Linked DNA regions of Sus scrofa. The protein of the gene in region 1 interacts with the protein of each later gene in a pairwise test. Links are inferred from orthologs where the notes say so. Each region holds a gene or a part of one and is shown on either strand. Other genes may lie near its edges.

What was found. The genes of interacting proteins can lie anywhere in the genome.
Region 2: the proteins of SGTA (region 1) and CDH15 interact in binary tests that used the Homo sapiens proteins (3 or more experiments, as listed by UniProt). The two-hybrid records come from large-scale screens. The link is inferred for Sus scrofa from reciprocal best matches to the Homo sapiens genes SGTA and CDH15.

What each region holds. Positions count from the first base shown.
Region 1 is NC_010444.4:75,890,167-75,900,147, forward strand, and holds the end of SGTA (small glutamine-rich tetratricopeptide repeat-containing protein alpha), read left to right. Parts: intron 1-7; coding exon 8-112; intron 113-1,046; coding exon 1,047-1,185; intron 1,186-1,894; coding exon 1,895-1,957; intron 1,958-3,073; coding exon 3,074-3,111; intron 3,112-3,630; coding exon 3,631-3,720; intron 3,721-3,879; coding exon 3,880-3,994; 3' UTR 3,995-4,000; intron 4,001-4,917; exon of another isoform or gene 4,918-4,969; 3' UTR 4,970-6,112; downstream 6,113-9,981. UniProt on the Homo sapiens protein: Co-chaperone that binds misfolded and hydrophobic patches-containing client proteins in the cytosol. Mediates their targeting to the endoplasmic reticulum but also regulates their sorting to the proteasome when targeting fails.
Region 2 is NC_010448.4:636,070-645,755, reverse strand, and holds the end of CDH15 (cadherin-15), read left to right. Parts: intron 1-645; coding exon 646-790; intron 791-3,829; coding exon 3,830-3,990; intron 3,991-4,666; coding exon 4,667-4,795; intron 4,796-5,119; coding exon 5,120-5,305; intron 5,306-6,260; coding exon 6,261-6,514; intron 6,515-7,040; coding exon 7,041-7,183; intron 7,184-7,317; coding exon 7,318-7,554; intron 7,555-7,828; coding exon 7,829-8,068; intron 8,069-8,174; coding exon 8,175-8,311; intron 8,312-8,425; coding exon 8,426-8,593; intron 8,594-8,918; coding exon 8,919-9,119; 3' UTR 9,120-9,406; downstream 9,407-9,686. UniProt on the Homo sapiens protein: Cadherins are calcium-dependent cell adhesion proteins. They preferentially interact with themselves in a homophilic manner in connecting cells; cadherins may thus contribute to the sorting of heterogeneous cell types.

The DNA of each region.
Region 1 (9,981 bases):
CCCCTAGAGCTGCAGCCTACAGCAAACTGGGCAACTACGCAGGCGCCGTACAGGACTGTGAGCGAGCCATCTGCATAGACCCGTCCTATAGCAAGGCCTACGGCAGGATGGGGTAAGTACCCCTCACCCGCGTCCACACCTGCACCCGTGCAGGGCTTCCTCCTGGTGCGGTGGAATCTTTTCCACACCACCTGCCCACCCCAGCTCACCGACCTCTACAACAGTGCAGCCACTGCCTGCCTGGGGGCCATGCAGGCCCCTCAAGTTAAGGACTCCGCTCCACAGGACTTCCCACCTCACCCACCAGTCATGTCCAGGCCATCATCTGAGCTTCTCCACCAACTATACATCAGGATTCACAGAACTCAGAACCATTTCACGTACATTCACCTGCTCGTTGTAAAGTATGCAAACAGGGCGAGGTCAGGGTGGGTCCCAAGGCAGAGCTCCCATCCCCTTGGGGTTTGCACTGCACCCTTGACCTGCATTCAAGACAGTCACCAGTGGAGACAGTCTCCAGTCTCGCTGTTCAGGGTTTTTTTTTTTTTTGTCTTTTTTGCCATTTCTTGGGCCACTCCCATAGCATATGGAGGTTCCCAGGCTAGGGGTCTAATCGGAGCCGTAGCCACTGGCCTACGCCAGAGCCACAGCAACGCAACGCCGGATCCTTAACCCACTGGACAAGGCCAGGGATCGAACTGCAACCTCATGGTTCCTAATCAGATTCGTTAACCACTGCACCATGACAGGAACTCCTGTTCAAGGGTTTAATCACCTGTCTCTAGCACCTTCCTCCCCAAAGGCTGGGGTGAGTTTGTTTGGTCTTCCCGGACAAATGCCCATCCTGAGGCTCCTCATTAGCAGAATAAACTCAGGTGTGGTCCGAGGACAGTTCTGTGATGCCGCTCTGCCTGGAGCAGGGGGTTCTGACCACCCCTGTTCTGCCGCCTTCCGGGTCTTGTGCTACCCTCCCCGAGCCTGACTCCCCTCATGACCCGGGCAGCCTCCCAGGCCCCCCCCACACACACCTGCTGTCTCTCCTGCAGCCTGGCACTGTCCAGCCTGAACAAGCACACAGAGGCCGTGGCCTACTATAGGAAGGCCTTGGAGCTGGACCCCGACAATGAGACCTACAAGTCCAACCTCAAGGTCGCAGAGCTGAGGCTGAGAGAGGCGCCCAGCCCTGTGAGTCCCCTAGGGACGAGCCATGGGGACAGGGTGGTGGGGCAGACACTCCTGAGGCATGGGGTTGAGGGCTGGGCATGCCCTGTGTGAGAAGAAGGGAGGGGTGGGGGGCAGCATGTGTTTAATGGAGTCTTTTTGTACGGAAAGAAGCTTATCTTCACAGACCCCCAGGAAGAGGAAGGGGCCTGCCCAGGGAAGCCTTCGGGCTCCTGGGGGACAGAGCCTGTGGTATGGATCCCTCAGAAGGAGCAGGCAGGCGGGCGAGTGAGATCAGGATTCGCTAGTTTGAATGATCCCTGGGCTCTGGGGCAGGGGCTACCTGGGGTGATGAGGGCAGGGACAGGGCCCTGAGTATGGGAGGAGGAGGGCCTGGGGTGCCACTGTGCACTGGCTAGTTTGTGTGGGAAAGGAGCACCCTTGGGCGAGTCATAACTCTCCCTAGGGATTGGTCACCCCTGGGAAGGGCCGTCTGTCCAGGTCAGCGTCAGGACGGGAAAGACAGCTAACATGCCATGCCTTTCCTGAGTAACCCACACTGTGGTGCATGCCTTTTGCAAAGTGCTGTCTGGCCGCAGGACTGGGCTGCCAAGGCTGCTAGGACGCCCAGGATTCCAAACAGGGCCCACGTGGGACCCTGCTTCTCAGTTCCGGGGCCAGGCATCAGGGTCCTGTGTCCACACACACTAAGCAGGCTTTTCTCCCCCTATAGACGGGAGGTGTTGGCAGCTTTGACATCGCAGGCCTGCTGAACAACCCGAGCTTTATGAGCATGGTAAGATGACAGCTGCACATGTCCCACGAGTGCCATGTCCTGGGTGGGGGCAGGGTCCACATCGCCCCTTAAGACCCTCAGTGTTGAGCACAGAGGACAAACCAAACCTGCCTCTCTAGGCCAAATAACACAGCCTGGGCCCCTCAGGGTGTGGACACAGTGACAGCAGAGTGGCCGCGCCTTCTCCCTGAAGCTCAGACAAGACACTGTGGGGCGCTGGGCCCGGCGGAGGAAGGGCCACCTCCAGGGCCAGACACTCAGGTCCCCAGGCGAGTGTTCCGTGCAGGGACATCCTCTGGAAGCAGGCACCCAGCGTGTCTGCAGGTGCCTATCCACCCCTAGGTGGTCCTGCTGGTCCTCGGGCCACACTGCGGGGGTGTGGGGTCTCAGCTGTCAGGGAGAGGAGCTTGGAACCCTGGTCGTCAGAGAAGCCCCCTCCTCAGCGAGAGGCATCTGGCCTCCCATGTCTTAGAGCCTGGCCACTGCCCTTGCCCAGGGATGAGGTGGGCACAGGGCCACCCAGGGAGGCCCGGCGGGGGCTCTGCCTGACAGTAGCCACTCCTTTGGCCTCATGCATCTGGATCAGGGGTCATAGTCCCCCGTGGCTTTGTGTGGTAATGCCCGGATGGCAGGCCCAGTGGACAAGCCAAGACCGGCTGGTAGCGCTCTCTGGCCCGGAAGCCGCCTCCTCAGCTCCCTGCTCATCCAAATCTTGAAATTGGCCTAAGGAGATAATCCCATGGGGCCAAGATTGCAGGACAGCATCCAGGACGTTGTCATCCACAGAGCAGGTGACTCCCAAGGCAGCCTTGGTCGGGGAAGATAGTGTGATGCCTGGGAGCGCTTTTTTTTTTTTTTTTTAAGCTTTTTAATAAAATTTTTTTTTGGTCACTCTGGGACATCATGGAGTTCCACAGCCCCGGGCTGGGGATCAAACCTGTCCCAGAGCTCCAGAGACACTGCCAGTACTGTTGCACCACAGTGGGAACTTCCTGGAATCTCTTAATATGTGTCCAGCCACGGTCAAAGTTGGGCAGCAGAGGAGGGTCAGGGCACAGGGAGGAGGTGGGCCTGGTGCCCAGAGTGCTTACGCTGACAAGTCTGTTCTTTCTTCAGGCATCAAATCTAATGAATAATCCCCAGGTTCAACAGCTGTAAGTGACAGCCGTTCTTCTTTGGGTCTTGTGGTTAAAATGACTGGTAAAAGATGCATAAAATGTACCGTTGTGGGCATTCTAAGGTTTATGGTTCCATGGTGCCAAGTATACCAATGTCCTGTAGCTGTCGCCACCATCTGATTCCAGAGTTTTCATCTCCCCAGAAAGAAGCCCTGTCCCCATCAGCAGTCACTCCACCCCCTCCCTTGTCTCCAGTGTGCCTCTTCTGGACGTTTCTTGTAAATGAACTCGGGCATCCTGTGGTCTTTGCTGTCACCGGCATCCCCCAGTGTCCCTGGAGGACAGAATTGCCCCGTTGAGAATCACTACCTTTAAGCCAAGAAAGGACCTTCCAGGGGAAGCCGATGAAACACAGGCTGCAGTCAGAGAGAAGGGTGGGCCCTGGGCTGGTTTGGCAGCAACAGAAAAGGTCTCTTGCCTGCAGAGGGGAGAGGCTGAGTGGGGTGGCTGAGGGAGGGGGCTGGGCCGTCTGCGAGTCAAGGGCTCTCTCTGCAGCATGTCTGGCATGATTTCGGGTGGCCACAACCCCCTGGGGACTCCGGGCACCAGTCCCTCGCAGAACGACCTGGCCAGTCTCATCCAGGCGTGAGTGGATCTGCCGGGTGGGGTGGCTCCCAGGGGAGGAGGGGCCTGCACAGTAGTGTCCCCAGGTGCTCTTGGGGCCCATGTCCTCCAGGGAACAGTCCCCTACCCTGGGGTGGGGGTGGAGCTGGGCATGGGCCAAGCCTTTGCTCACCTCCGCAGGGGCCAGCAGTTCGCTCAGCAGATGCAGCAGCAGAACCCAGAGTTGATAGAACAGCTACGAAGTCAGATCCGCAGTCGGACCCCCAGTGCCAGCAACGATGACCAGCAGGAGTGATGGCCTGTGAGTCCCCGGGGCTGGGGGCTCCCTGAGCCATCAAGGCCAGGCGGGGGCATCTCAGGACACCAGGCCCTTGCCAAGCATTCCCACCCAAATCCCCTTCCACTTACCGTTCAGGTGGGCCATGCGGATGAGAGGTGGACCCCTCCTGAGTCTGCCGTGCTCTCGCAAGAGCATGGGCAGCTGTGACTGGATGTGGAAGACAGGCTGGCACATGCCTCTCACTCTGGATGTTAATGTCCAGGTTTTCTGATTTTGGTTTGTTTTGTTTCTTGCTGTGAGCAGATGTGACATGTACAATAATTGCTTTAAAAAAAAATACACCCAGATGTCCCAGGAGGGTCCCCAACAGCCTTGGCCAGCTTAGTTAGTGTCCAGGGCCCCCCCATCCCCATCCCGTCTCCATGGACACAGGCACAGGTGGCTCTCCTGCCCAGGGGGTGCGTTCCCTGCTTTCCCTTATTTGTCACCATCCCTCTTTATGCTTTTCTTTAACCATGACTTTTTATAGAAAATTCTAAAGGACAAAAATGTTAAAATACCAGTGGAGAACAACCCAAACCTTTCCATCCACAGCAACAAATGTTAAGATTCTGGATACTTTTCCTTCCAGACGTGTGTGTGCGTGTGCGTGTGCGCTTTAAAAGGCGGGGAGGGGATTTCCCTGGTGGTGCAGCAGGTTAAGGATCCAACATGGTCATTGCAGTGGCTCAGTCACTGTTGTGGCTCAGGTTCGATCCCTGGCCTGGGAACTTTCACATGCCACAGGTGTAGCCAAAAAATTTAAAAACCACATACACACATCTGAGGTCAAGTTTGTGTTCATCACTGGTCGGAGCCGGATCCCTGGAGTGCCTTCAAATCCCATCTGGCTGAGGATTTGCTTTAAGCCTGTCCTCCCACCGCCCTCTCCACCACAGGCACCGCGTGGCTCCATCTCCTGACCGCCACCCTCCTGTCTTCTTCCTCCAGCTGTCCCAGTGCCATCGGGTCCTGCGTGGCCGACCAGAAGCCTTCTTGTGTTCTGCCGTCTTCTCCCATTGGACTGCCCACGAGAGAAAAAGAAATTGGACCTGCATGTTAAGACAGATTTTTATTATTATTATTTTTTTTTGCCTTCACCCTTCTCTCCCTTTTTGTACTCTCATGGCCCCCAGACCTCTCTCGAAACAGAGCCAGCAAGCTGTGAGTGCAGACCAGCATCCATCTCCCTCCAACACCCCCCCAAACCTAGTGACTAAAGTGTTTTCTAAAATATTCCCAGGGTGGGGTAGTCTTCTCACTGCTGTCGGAGAAGCAGCCTGTGGGGATGCCGTGGCCCTGCTGCCCTTCCTGCAGCCCCGACCCCTTGGTCTGGCCTCGGGCCTCCCAGCCCTTCCTGAGTCGACTTTGGCCACCCCAGCTCTGACAAGCTCACTGCCAGCCACACCCGGCCCTAGGACCCGGGTTCGTGCATGAGGAACTCAGTTGCAGGTTCCTAGACAACGGTTCCGTCGTCCAGCGCCCAGCAGGGCCAGGGGAATGTCCTGGGTGCACAGGACGGTTTTTTTTCCTGTTGCGTGTTTTGATGGATGCGTGTCTGATCTACATCCTCTTTTCCCAGTGCTCGAGACCGACAGACTGCAAGGGGCACCCTCATGGCCCCATCCCAGCCTATCCCTGTGTCCCAGACACTGCCCTCTTGCCTCCAGGTGGTCCCACTGACCCAACGCATGGCATCCTCAGCAGGCTCTCATTCTGTTCGGGGTGGCAGCTGCAGGGCCCTGGTGCCACCTGCCCTGGGAGATTTCCAGGCAGCCATGGAAGCAGCTTCTGGAGCAGGGGTGGGTCAGCCACTGTGGATGTCCCCTGAGCCCTGGCCTGGGCAGGGGCAGGGTGGGGAGGAGATGTCGCTAGCGTCACTGCACCCATGCCCATATTGGCAGTGGGATCACCTGAGGCTCCTGGTGGTGGGGGGGCGTCTGTGAGGTAGACCCATCGCCATGTGTCGTAGGTAACTCTAGGGAGACAGCCACCTGCGCTCTGCACGCGTCCGGAGAGATATGTCCTGATTCTAGAGTGCTAGCCATGGTGACAAGCATAATGTGTGGGGAATAAATAGACATCGTGACCTCTGCTCTGTGTTGCTCTTTCAGCACCACTCCCACCCTCCCTGACCCGAGCTTCCAGGAATCCCCAGCCTGGGTGGACCCCGCATGAGTCACCTTGAAACCATTGAACCAGGTCATGTATATATTTCCTACAGCCCCTGAGATGTTCCCACAAATTCAGTGGCTTTTTTTTTTTTTTTTTTTTTTTTTTTTTGCTTTTTGGGGCCGCTCCTTCGCTGTATGGAAGTTCCCAGGCTAGTGGTCTAAACAGAGCTGCAGCTGCTGGCCTATGCCACAGCTATAGCAACGTGGGATCCGAGCCTCGTCTGTGACCTACACAACAGCTCACTGCAATGCCGCATCCTTAAGTCCACTGAGCAAGGCCAGGGATCGAACCTGCATCCTCATGGATACTAGTTGGGTTCATTACCACTGAGCCACAATGGGAACTCCCTCAGTGGCTTTTAACCACGCACATCATCTCAGTCCTGGAGGCCAGGAGTGGGACCAGGGCTAAACCTGGGCATGGATGGGACTGGCACCTTCTGGAGGCTCCAGGGAAGAATCAGTTCCTGCCTTTTCCAGTTTCTGGAGGCCACACATATGACATGGGCAGAGGGGCCCATCAGGACCTGCACTTGGCTGCAAGCTGGCCGTTGGGCTGTGGGGACACTTTCAGCCCTTGGAACAGGAGCCTGCGACACCTACCACCTTCAGCTCCAAGGAGTTAGCCTTCCATCCTCCAGTGACCTTGAGCTTCCACGTCCTGCAGAGATGACCTCAATGTTTTCCTTTTTTTGTTTGTTTGTTTTTGTTTTGTTTTAGGTTTTTAGGGTTGTACCTGTGACACATGGAAGTTCCCAGGCTAGGGGTTGAATCAGAGCTATAGCTGCTGGCACAGCCACAGCAACGAAGGATCTAAGCCACATCTGCGACCTACACCATAGCTCATGGCAACACTGGATCCTTAACCCACTGAGCAAGGCCAGGGATTGAACCCGCTACCTCATGGTTATTAGTAAGTTTCGTTTCCACTCTGCCAAATGGGAACTCCCATGGTGTTTTCCTTGTCTCTTGGATGGTGGCCAGCAGAGACTTAAATTTCAAAGAGGAGGAAGGGCCCATTCCTGGTGCCACTGGTGGACATGGAAGCTCTCTGCTGTCCTCACCGCTCCCCTACACCACTACCCCAACTCCCCAGCACAGGCCGAGTGTTGTGGGCACCAGTGGAGCAGGTGAGGAAGGTGGCCCGGCCAGCTCTGAGTTTCTGATCTGTGTTTGCACAGAATCTCATTGATTTCTGCACACTTAATCTTGGTGGCTCACTCAGTCTTGAGAACCACTGAGTTGATGCAGTAAACCGGCATTTTACATAGCTTCAGCCACCTGCCCAAGGAAATGATTCCTTTATAAAAATGCAGGAGTTCCCAGCTGGCTCAGTGGGTTAAGGATCTGGTGTTGTCACTGCTGTGGTATGTGTTCAATCCCTGGCCCCAGAAATTCCAAATCCCAAAGGCATGGCCCAAAAAAACCCAATACTTTGGTTACTTCCCAGTTTCTCTGAGTCAGAAATCAGGTTCAGCTGGGGTCTCTGCCTGGGTCCCAGCCTGGTCTGTGGTATCTGCTCACAGGTTGTGGACAAAGTTCAGTCCTTACCTTGTAGATTGAGGCCTGACTCCCTCCGCTCCCAGAAGTGGCCCTCAGCTCTGTGTGTCCCCCTGCCTCCCAATGGGGCCTCCTCTATTCATCTCCTGGGGCTGCCAGAGCAAATTACTATAGACTTGGTGGCTTAAACCAACACACTTTTACTCTCTCATGGTTCTGGGAACCAGATGCACAAAACCAGTTTCTCCAGTTCAAAAGCCAGCGCTCCATCCAGGCATCCCAGGGGAGGATCCACCCCTTGCATCCTCCAGGGGCTGTGGTGTCCTTGGCTTCTGGCCACGTCTGTCCAGTCTCTACCTCTGTCTTCACATGACCTCTCCTGTCTGTGTCCAATCCCCCTCTGCATCTCTTTTTTCCCCCTTTGGCCACATCAGTGCCGTTTGGAAGTTCCCAGTCCACAGCAGCAACCAAAGCCTCAGCAGTGACAATGCCAGGTCCTTAGCCCACTGAGCTACCAGGGAACTCCCTCTGCCTCCTTTTTATAACAGTCCTTGTGGTGATACTGGACCCGCCCTGGGTGATGAGAGATCACCCCCATCTCATCTCAGAGTCCTTAATTTAATCCCACCTGCAAAAACCCTTTTGCTATGTATGGTATCACAGGTTCCAGCAACTATGACATGGCTATCACTGGGATCAATAATAGATAGCCTTGGGAGCTCCCGTCATGGCTCAGTAGTTAACAAACCTGACTAGTATCCATGAGGACGTGGGTTCAATCCCTGACCTTGTTCATATGCAACAGGTGCGGCCCCCAAAATAATAATAGCCTTCCGAAACTCCCCACATGGCCACTTTCATCATTAAAGCTGCAGGGGGCAATCAGTGAGCAGGACGTAACCTTCTGTAACATGATGTAATCCTGAGGATAGTCATCACCTATCTTGTTGGTTCGAAGTGAGTTGCAGGTCCTGTCCTCAAAGGACAACCACAGCCACTGGGAAGTGGGAGTTACTGGGCTGTCTTAGAGCCCGTTTGCCATAGACTTGAGCTCAGCCAAGTCTCCCAGCCAACCAGAACCTGATAGCCTGCCTCTAAGCCTCTGTCCTGTCCAAAGTTCTGAAGAGCAGTCCTGAGTCCTCAGGGCCTGAGTCTGGCAGGAGTCGTGGCATCTTGGGTCTTTAGTGACTCCCTTGCCGTCACTTCCATGCAAGCCCAGTTTAGATCAGTCTGTTCAAGAATTCAGAAAGGAGTTCCTGTTGTGGTGCAGCAAAAACTAATCTGACTAGTATCCATGAGGATGGGGTTGGATCCCTGGCCTCACTTGGTGGGTCAAGGATCTGGCATTGCTGTGAGCTAGAGCTGTGGTGTAGATTCCACCCCTAGTCTGGGAACTTCCACATGCCACGCGTGCAGCCCTAAAAAGTAAAAAATTAAATAAAAATTAAGAAAGGAGAGAGAAAAATTCCAGCATCCTTCTAAGGCTTTACAAACCTTCTAGAACATGCAAAATCTTAACGCTTCATGGTGCCAGTGAAGCCTGTTTCCTCTTTATCTGTGATGATCAAGGATTGGCTGGGGGCTTCTTGCTCAGAGGTGCAGATTAAGTGGTCCCCATCTGGGCTGCCCTTGAAATCATCTGAGGGCTTTTATCACTGACACCTGCATCCCACCCTCCCCAAAAAACTCACCTAGGGTGGCAATGGTCAACCAGGGTGACTCTGCCCCCCAGGGGACACTGGGTGAGATCTGGGGACATTTTTGGATGTCAGGAGTGAGGGGTGCTCCTGGTATCAAGTGTGTGGAAACCAGGGAGGCTACTCAACACCCTGCAGAGCTCAAGAACTACTGACCCAGACTATGCATTCCCCTGAATTTATTTAGCCAGCCCCCTACTGGTTCTGTATTTTCAAACAAGCAGACCTGGAGATCCTGAGGCACCTGTTTGGAGAAGCCCATGCTGAGGGGCGCTGGTGGGCACAGGGTGGAGGGAGGGAATAGAAGTCACACCTTCCCTCCCATCCTGTGTGCGCATCCCTGGGAGGCCCTGCAGAGACTCTTGCAAAGTTACCCAACACCCAGTCTAAGAGTTCGCGAAAGATCCAGAAGTTTTCTGTTTTGGAACCGCTGGAAATGTGGAGAAGAGGGAAAGAAAAAAAAAAAGGGTATGTCAACATCTCACCCCAGAAGCCGGAGGCTCCTATACAGGACTTGATAAGTGTATCAGGGAGAATGAGTGCTTGATCCCACGCGTGTTAGAAATGGGATATTTCTGGAGTTCCCGTCATG
Region 2 (9,686 bases), on another chromosome or scaffold:
GGGTAGGATGGAGGTGGCCTGGAAGCTGGCCCTTGAAAGGCTTGGGCTGTGGGGTCTAGGACAAAGAGCCGTGGAGAGAGGGAGGAGAGCTGGGCCAAGGAGGGAACGTAGAACTCACCTGAGTCCCTATAGACATGGGTACCCCCCGGGCTGACCTGACCCAGGGAAGGGGCTTCAGCCTTTGCCATTCAGGTGCCCTAAAGCCTTGTCAAGCTTTAAGAACCCTCTTTGGTTTCCACAGAAAGACTGTGTTTTCCTTGGAAGTTAAATCTCACCTATTCTCTGAGGGGCAGGAGGTAGGTTAAGTCAAAACTGCACCCATACAGAGAAGTTAAACTTCAAGAGCAGCCAAAACCATTTACAGAAAAAGAGAGAGAGGCTAGGAGAGCATCGCCTGAGTCACGTTTGAAACATGGCTGTGAGCTTCCTGGTGGCCAAGGTGATAGGGGAAGCATGGCGGCCGCCCTGCCTGCTGGGAGGAAATGGGCTCTTCTTGGGGGATTCTGTCTGCCCCTGAACTGCTTCTCACTTGTTTCAGTGGGGTTTTCAGCAGGCACCACCTCTGCATTTGCTGTCCCATTTGCCTTTGGGGGGCTGCTGAAAATTGGGGAACCCAGTGCCAGCCCTTGCTCTCTGCTCAATTAGCTCAGGGCCTTCGCTCTGGACCTGGGGGGGTCCACCCTGGAGGAGCCCACAGATCTGGAGATCGTGGTTGTGGACCAGAATGACAACCGGCCGGTCTTCAGGCAGGAGGTGTTCACTGGCCAGGTGCTGGAAGGCGCTGTCCCAGGTGAGTGCCAGCCACCTGCTCCAGCTGCCAGTGAGGTAGGGAGCCTAGAGGTGGGTGCTGGGGAGCTCAGGAATCCAGGGGTTCTCCTCACCGAGGACTTGAAAAATAGGTACATAGCCTCCACGACTGCAGGAGTTTCCACAGGTCACTTCTTGCAGTGTAAATTCAAGCCGCACGTCTTCCAAAGCTGGAGAGCATCTGCGGATGGCTAAGCTCTGGTGGTTCCTCTGCTCCCCCCTCCCCATCCCCTCTCTCTCCCCCCTTTTCTAAATTGAGGTGAAGTTCACATAACCTGAAATTAACCATTTTAAACTGAGCAGTTCATGGCATTTACGCGTTCACAGCGCACAGGCCCCACACATCACCCCCGAAAGGAGGCTCCGGCCTGTTAGCTGTCACTTCCTGAATCACGACAGCTGTGGCGACGCGGGATCCTTAACCCACTGGCCAGGCCGGGGATCAAACCCGTGCCTCCACAGCAACGTGAGCAGCTGCTGCATATGGAAGTTCCCAGGCTAAGGGTCGAATTGGAGCTGCTGGCCTGCACCTCAACCACAGCAACAGTAAATGCAAGCCAGGTCTGCGACCTACACCACAGCTCACGGCAACACCAGATCCTTAACCCACCGAGCGAGGCGAGGGATCGAACCTGCATCCTTCAGGAGCACAGAGACTAGTCAAGTTCTTAACTTGCCGAGCCACAGCGGGAACTCCTCGTTGATTCTTGATTCCATGTTTTCATGGCAAAAGCCCCACAACGCTTTGTCTGTCATGGGCCCTGAGGCAGCACCTCGCTTGCCTGAGTAAATGCTTTGACTTTATAGGCAAAGGAGGTGTTTTTGGGACTCGAGGGGGGCAGGACTGAAGCTGCAGGTTGCGTTGGGTAGTCCTGTCATCTTAGCAATTTGCCCTCTTCCAAACCGTGACTGTGGCTTGTGTTTGCAGCCGTCTGCGTTTCCTTGCATTCCTCTCAGCAGCGTTTTCTGCTTCTCACTCACTGTTCATTCTGCCACCTCCCCTTGGTTGCGATTGTCTCCAGGTGTGGGTCTGTGTGCCTGGAGGCCCCCTGAGACCCTGGTTCCGGGGCTTCCTGCTGTTCCCTTTGTTTTTTTTTTTTTTTTTTTCCTTGGGCCGCTCCTGCAGCATATGGAGGTTCCCAGGCTAGGGGTCGAATCAGAGCTGTAGCTGCCAGCCTACGCCAGAGCCACAGCAACTCGGGACCCGAGCCGCATCTGCAACCTACACCACAGCTCACGGCAACGTCGGATCCTTAACCCGCTGAGCAAGGGCAGGGACCGAACCCGCAACCTCATGGTTCCTAGTCAGATTCGTTAACCACTGCGCCACGGCGGGAACTCCTGCTGTTCCCTTTGTGATGAATAGGCCTCTGGTGGAAGGTTCTCTGCAGGCCCTGCTGCCCTCAGACCGCCCGCCCCCGGGCTCCTGCCTGAATCTCCACTGTCCCCATTCTTGTTTCATCCTGTCCTTCGTCTCCGTTACACGATAGAACTCAAGTGCTTGTACGTACTGTATATGTCTGTGTGTCTTCAGTGTGTGCATGTGTGTGTGTACATAGGTGTGTGTGCGTGTGCTTTGGGTATATGTGTATTCACATATGTTAGTCTGGACGCTTCATGTCCTCTTAATTCAATGGGTAAGAATTCTTTCTATTTTATGATCGTTATTTTTTTGGCCTCCCCGTGGCGTATAGGTTCTCTCTCTGGGGGTCAGATCTGACCTAATCCGCAGCTGCAGCCGTGCTGGATCCTTAATGCACCTTGCCGGGCGGGGGAACGAACCTGTGTCCTAGCGCTCCCAAGATGCCGCGGATCCCATTGGGCCACTGCGGGCACCCCATTGCTTGATCATTCTTCGCAGCCGTGATTTTTTTTTTTTTTTTTTGCTCTTAAAGGCCGCACCCTCGGCATATGGAGGTTCCCAGTCTAGGGGTCCTGTCGGAGCTGTAGCCACCGGCCTACACCAGAGCCACAGCAACGCGAGATCCGAGCTGCATCTGCAACCTACACCACAGCTCACGGCTGTGCCGGATCCTTAACCCACTGATCGAGGCCAAGGATTGAACCTGCATCCTCATAGATACTAGTCGGGTCTGTTAACTGCTAAGCCATGACGGGAACTCCTGCAGCCATGATTTGATGCTCGCGTTGGCTCAGTGAGAAACTCATCCACTGGCCCAGGCCCTTTCAGCAGGCAGAGCTGGGCAGTAAGTTCACAAAGGTGCAGCTGTGCATGTGTCTGCGTGTGCGTGTGTGTCTGGCGTGTATGTGTGCGCTCAGCCATGTTTGCACGCTCCTCCACCTTCCTTCTGAGTCACAAGTCCTTGCCAGCACCCACTGGCATCCCGGGTCTGCGAGGTCCCTTGTGGGGTCCCTTCTCTGATGGTGAGAAGCTGGGCCCCGGTCCCCCGTGTGTGCTCACCTGCCGGGCGTCGGGGCTTGGGGCCCCTCGGAGCGGCTCACCTGCGCTCCAGGAAGGGGGCTGCTTGGAGCGCTGTTTCTGGCTCTACTCTGGGGTCCAGAGTTGCACCAGGACGTACCTGCTTGGTGGCTCCCCACCTTCCGTGGCTTGGCCAGCGGCTGCTTTGATGCTGTTCCTTAGTCACCCGCCAGCGACAGGCCTGGCTGCCTGGGCTGCTCCCAGGCAGGGGAGCGTGCAGTGCCCCAGGGATCAGAAGGAACGCAGGGCACCGGGACTGGTGGGCCTCCGCTGCAGTGACCCCTCTCCTGAGGCTTGCTGTCCTGTTTGCCCTGGAGCTGCCCAGCTTGCCTGCACTCTCTTCCTCCTGGGGCTGGGGTTCGGGGCCAGGCCCAGGTGTCCCGTGGAAAACAGGTGTCAGCTGTGCACGTCGGACACCCACCTCCCCCAACCCAAGCAGCACGAGTCAGCAGCTTGGACGTTGGGCATGGGCTGAACACAGCCTGGACTGGGCCCGTGGGCTGCAGCAGAGCAGGCAGGGTGTGCTGGAGTTAGGGGCTGGTGCCCGTGGGTGTCACCGCCACACGTCCCCGCCCTTCCCAGGTACCTTGGTGACCAGGGCGGAGGCCACAGACGCGGACGACCCGGAGACGGACAACGCGGCCCTCCGGTACTCGATCCTGGAGCAGGGGGGCCCCCAGCTCTTCAGCATCGATGCGCTCTCAGGGGACATCCGCACGGTGCAAGTGGGCCTGGACCGCGAGGTGAGGGCTGCTCACCGCGGCCGACATTCCCCTCGGGCCTGGGCCGGGCAGACCCAGCCTGAGCCACCCTGCCCTGTGGGTGGGCGGGTGGGTAGATCCGAAGCCGGTTTACGGGCCCTCAGCCCCTTTTCAGCCCAAAGTCCCGCCTGTTGCCTGTGAAGAATTCAGGCTCCCTGGCCCGGGGTAGGGCCGTCCGTGTGGCCCCTCGCTGCCAGGCTCCTTTCCGTGTGGCATCTGCACCTCCAGGAAGCCCTCCTTGGTTCCCCACAGCCACCCAGGTGCTCTGTCTGGCTACTTACCATGCGAGGTGATCTTTGCCCCCTTTCTCTGCCACTGCTCCCGGCTCCCCAGGGCAGGGACTAGCACCTTGCATGCAGCAGGCGCTCTGTAAATGCTTATCTGACTCGGTCACTGCTCTTCTGCCTGCTCACAGGCTGGGGCAGAGCCTGGAGTCGACAGTCCTGTGGTGGGACTGAGAAGCCAGGCAGCACCTTGTGCCCCAGGACTGCAGAGCAGGGCAGGTACTCGAGCCACCTGGGGTCTCAGAGCCACGAGCGCCTGGCAGGGGGCTGAGCTGCAGGGGGTGTGCCTACCCTGCCCCCAAGCCCTAAGGTGGCCACGCAGCCCTGGCCACATGCTCCATCCAGTCTCCTGATGCTGCGTCACCTGTCCCCAGGTGGTCGCCGTGTACAACCTGACCCTGCAGGTGGCAGACATGTCTGGAGACGGGCTCACGGCCACCGCCTCAGCTGTCATCACGCTCCAGGATGTCAATGACAACGCCCCCGAGTTCACTGGGGAAGAGGTGGTGGCTCCGCCCTTGCCCCGCTGCCGCTGCTTGGGGCTGCCCTGGTCGGGGCTCCTGGTGAGGGGTGGGGGGCTGGGAGCCCGGAGGAGACACCCCGCATGGTTGGTTCAAGGCCCCGATCAGCACAGGTGGCTTGTGAGCACGTCAAGCGTCGGGAGCTTGGTGGTGGGGGCCGTGGCCCTGCCTTGGAGAGGGCAGTGCCTGCCTGGCCAGCAGCTGAGGGGGGCGGTGGTTCCCGGGCCCCTGGGCCAGAGGACTGCGCTTGGGTGGGCAGTGGGTGGGAGAGACCGGCCTGTGGGTAACGGGGCCGAGTTTCTGCAGTTCTTCCTGGAGGCCGCCGAGGCCGTCAGCGGCGTGGACGTGGGGCGGCTTGAGGTGGAGGACCGGGACCTGCCCGGCTCCCCCAACTGGGCGGCCAGGTTCACCATCTTGGAGGGTGACCCTCAGGGGCACTTCGCCATCCGCACGGACCCCAGGACCAACGAGGGCGTGCTGTCCGTGGTGAAGGTGAGCTGGCGGGCGTCTCTCACACCGGCCACCTGATGGAAGCGTCCGTGGCCCCTCAGGAAGGAGCAGCCAGAGGGCCTGGCGCGCGGGGACTGCAGGCTTGGGTCACGCAACACAGGACGACAGGGCTGAGAGGCGGGGCAGCACCACCCGCTCGGGGTTATTTCCGGCGTTCGACGCATGTTCCCGGTGAGCACGTGCAGACCTCACGTGTCGACTGACCTGAAACCAGAGAGAGAACCAGCAAGAGATACATTTCTGCATGCCTGTGCACACACAGCTACACACACGCGTGCACACACGTGCACATGCATGCGCACACAGCCACACATGCACACACACATGCGCACGCACGGCTACACACACAGCTATACACACGCATGCATGCACACGTATGCGTGCACACTGCAGCTCACATATGTTTGTGCAGAGAGAGATTTCGATGGTTCCTGGGGCCACTGAGTGGCAGCTGGCCGGCTGAAAGCCTAGGAGCTGAGGCCGCACCTGGAGGCCGGGTTCCTTCTTCTGCAGGGAGATGGCACGTTTGCTCTCAAAGGCTTCCAGCCACAGACAAGACCCTTCCCCACCCGCTTATCCAGGATAAGCCGCTTGGTTTAAAGTTTCTGTATGGCCAGCTTAAGCATGGGGCCCGATGAGTGTCTGCCCCCCTGAGTCACTGAGGGGGACAGTCCAGCCAAGTGACAGAAAACTGACCACACAGCTCCCCACAGACTCATTTCGAGTGAAGAGTATTTGTCGTTTTTACAGTCTTCTTCGTGCTTTTTGTCTTGCATTATTTTTATTTTCCCAAGGCTGAAAAGAAGGAAGTTGGGGCTCTGAGGTCAGAGGAGGGCGGCAGTGCCAGTGTGCAGGGCTCTCCAGCCCAAGCTGCCTGGGGCGCCCCCGCTGCGCAGGGCCCCGAGGCGTGATGGGCCGCCCCTCTGCTTTCCTGCAGCCCCTGGACTATGAGAGCTGCGAGCGGTACACCCTCAAAGTGGCGGTGCAGAATGAGGCCCCCCTGCAGGCAGCCGCCCCCAGGGCTGAACGGGGCCAGGCCAGGGTCAGCGTGCAGGTGCGGGATGTCAACGAGCCCCCCGTGTTCCGGGAGAACCCGCTAAGGGCCAGCCTGGCTGAGGGGGCAGCCCCAGGAACCCCCGTGGCCACCTTCTCTGCCCGAGACCCTGACACACGTCGGCCGCAGAGGCTCAGGTGGGGGCCTCGGCTGAGCAGAGGGGACCCCCAGCCAGGGCAGCACAGCTCAGAGTGTGAGGCCTGTGCCCCGGGTTCCCGCAGGTCTGCGCTGTGGTTGGAGGGTGGGGGCTCATCCGTGTGTGTCACCAAGCGTCCACGCATGTGCTTGTGTTCATGCGGCCTTGCTGGCGGGGCAGGGCTGGGCTCTCCCCGGCGCAGCTGACTTGGCCTCCATCGTTCCCCAGCCGCGCTGGGAAGCCGCTGTTCCCGTGGGACTGGGTGTTAACACCTTGGACTTCACCCCCTGCCCTGGCCCCGTGGATCTGGGTCTGTCCCCGTGGTGCCACGGTTGAACCCTGTTGTCACTCAGGGGCCGGGGGCCCTGAGCAGCTTGCCTGCCCTCCCGACCCTCAGTTTCTTCGTCTGCTGTTTGGGCCGCGTAGGGCTCTAGAACCAGCTTCAGAGGTGTCTGTGTGTCTCCGTGGGACACACCCCTGGGGTCGCACTTGGGCCCAAGGCCACCCACTGCCCTGCCCCCCAACAGCTACTCCAAGGACTACGACCCTGAAGACTGGCTGCACGTGGACGGGGCCACTGGCCAGGTCCAGACGCAGCGTGTGCTCAGCCCCGCATCCCCCTTCCTCAAGGATGGCTGGTATCGCGCCGTCATCCTGGCCCAAGACGATGGTGAGTGCGGAGCCCGGCCTGGGCCCCCCGCTGCTGCCCAAGGGCTCTGGGCTGGGGGCTCCACCGAGCAGGCCTGCGGGGGGAGGCGAGGGTTCCCGTGGGCCGAGGGCTCACCAGGCCCGTCCTGCCTGCAGCCTCACCACCCAGCACGGCCACTGGGACCCTGTCCATTGAGATCCTGGAGGTCAACGACCACGCCCCCGAGCTGTCCCCGCCTTGGGGCAGCCTGTGCAGCGCGCCAGACCAGGGCTCCGGCCTTCTCCTGGGGGCCACGGATGAGGACCTCCCCCCCCACGGGGCCCCCTTCCACTTCCAGCTGAGCCCCAGGGTTCCAGAGCTGGCCCGGAACTGGAGCCTCAGCCCTGTGAATGGTGAGCTCTCCCCACGCCCCTGCGGGTCCAGAGCCTGGGGCCTGCCGGGGTCACTCCGCATCGTGGTCCCACTGGCTCCCTCCGCGGTGCCTCCGCGGGCCGGGTAGGGATGGGTGACACACCCTATGGACAGATGGGGAGGCAGAGCCCCAGCATCTCAGGAACCCCACGCAGCAGGCTCCCACCCCAAGCACAGGCACAGAGGGGGTCGGGAGGTGGATGGGCAGCTCGGAGCTGCTGCCTCGCCCCTGCTGACCGCGAGCGCCCTCTGCAGTGAGCCATGCGCGCCTGCAGCTGCGGCACCAGGTCCAGGAGGGTCTGTACCGCCTCAGCCTGCTGCTTCGGGACTCAGGACAGCCGCCGCAGCAGCGCGAGCAGCCCCTGAACGTGACCGTGTGCCGCTGTGGCCAGGACGGCACCTGCCTGCCAGGAGCCGCTGCGCTGCGGGCGGGCGGCGCCGGCATCAGCCTGGGGGCCCTGGTCATCGTGCTGGCCAGCGTCATCCTGCTGCTCTGTGAGTGCCGGCCTGCGCACCCCAGCGCTCGGACCCACGCCCCCCGCAGCCCCTTCCGTCTCCCCTGCCCCATGCCCACCCGACCTCCGCCCCATCCCCCACCTAGTGCTCGCCCTGCTGGTGGCCCTCCTGGCGCGGTCCCGGCAGCAGTCGTGGGACAAGGGGCTTCTGCACGGGCTGCAGGACGATCTCCGGGACAACATCCTCAACTACGATGAGCAGGGGGGCGGGGAGGAGGACCAGGTGAGGGGACGGGGCTTGAAGTGCTGAGTGGGGGGGGTCTCTGTGGGGCCCCTGCCGGCCGCCCCAGGAGGGCACCCAGACCCGCGGCTGAGCTCCCTGGCGCTCTGTCCACAGGATGCCTATGACATGGACCAACTGCGCCACCCAGAAGAGCTGGCGGCCCTGAGCGCCCCCCTAGGAAGGCCGCTGATGCGCCGAGATGCCCCGTTTGGCCGAGCGCGCCCCCAGGCTCCCCGTGCGCTGCCCACCAGCCCCACTGACATCGCTGACTTCATCCTCGATGTAGGTGCCAAGCGGGTGGCGGGACCAGGCCCGTGCTCACATGCCCCCTCACGCCTGGGGCGCGCTTGGGGCGCAGGATGGAGGGCTGGAGGTAGGGGCTCGAGTCCGCGAGAGGGAAACCCACCCAGAGGGGACCTTGCCTCTAGTCCGCGTTCTGTGGCAGGTGCTCCCAAGGGCCGGCTCAGGGCTGCTGTGCCAACCCTGGTCACCCCTTTCCCCCTTCTGGCTCTGTCTCCCGGGAGCCTCTCCGGAGCCACTGCCACAGTGGCGGAGGCCACCGGCCGGGCAGGTCAGCACTGCTCCTGAGCCCCAGGCCTGTTCACAGGGCTTGGAGGCTGCAGACAGTGACCCCAGCGTCCCCCCCTACGACACGGCTCTCATCTACGACTACGAGGGGGACGGCTCTGTGGCCGGGACGCTGAGCTCCATCCTGTCCAGCCTGGGCGACGAGGACCAGGACTACAGCTGCCTCCAGGACTGGGGCCCCCGCTTCGCCCGGCTGGCCGATTTGTACGGGCCCCCGTGAAGGTGCCGGGGACGTGGCTTTCGGATGGACCTGTACCCTCCTTGCTCAGGGCACTTCCTCCCCATCCAGAGGGCACACCACAGGGGTCCAAGTGGACACGCTGGACTGGGCTGTGTGGCCGGAAGGGTCAGCTGACCTCTGCACGGCAGACAGGGCACCAGGTCCGTGGCGTGGGTGGGTGGCCTGAGGCGTAGGCCAGCAGCTGCAGCTCCGATTCAGGAACTTCCATATGCCTTGGGTGCAACAACAACAAAAAAAAGCAAAAAAAAAAAAAAAAAAAAAAAAAATAGCCCCTTCATGTAGAATCCTTCTGACCTTAGTCCCTCGGGCCTCGGATTCCCCAGTGCACCCTGGGTAGACGGACAGGGTAGAACGAACAGCAGCCTCCTGCCCACCAATCATTCTGAGGGCTGACCCCAGAGCTGCACCCCCAACCAATGGGCAGACCTCCGGCCAAGCAACAGCTCTGTTGGCCTGCAGGGCCCACACTCACATTGGCCCCCATGAGGAGAAGTAGGGATGCCAGCCTAGGACCAAGGCAGCAGCACCAGGCAGCACCCCCAGAGA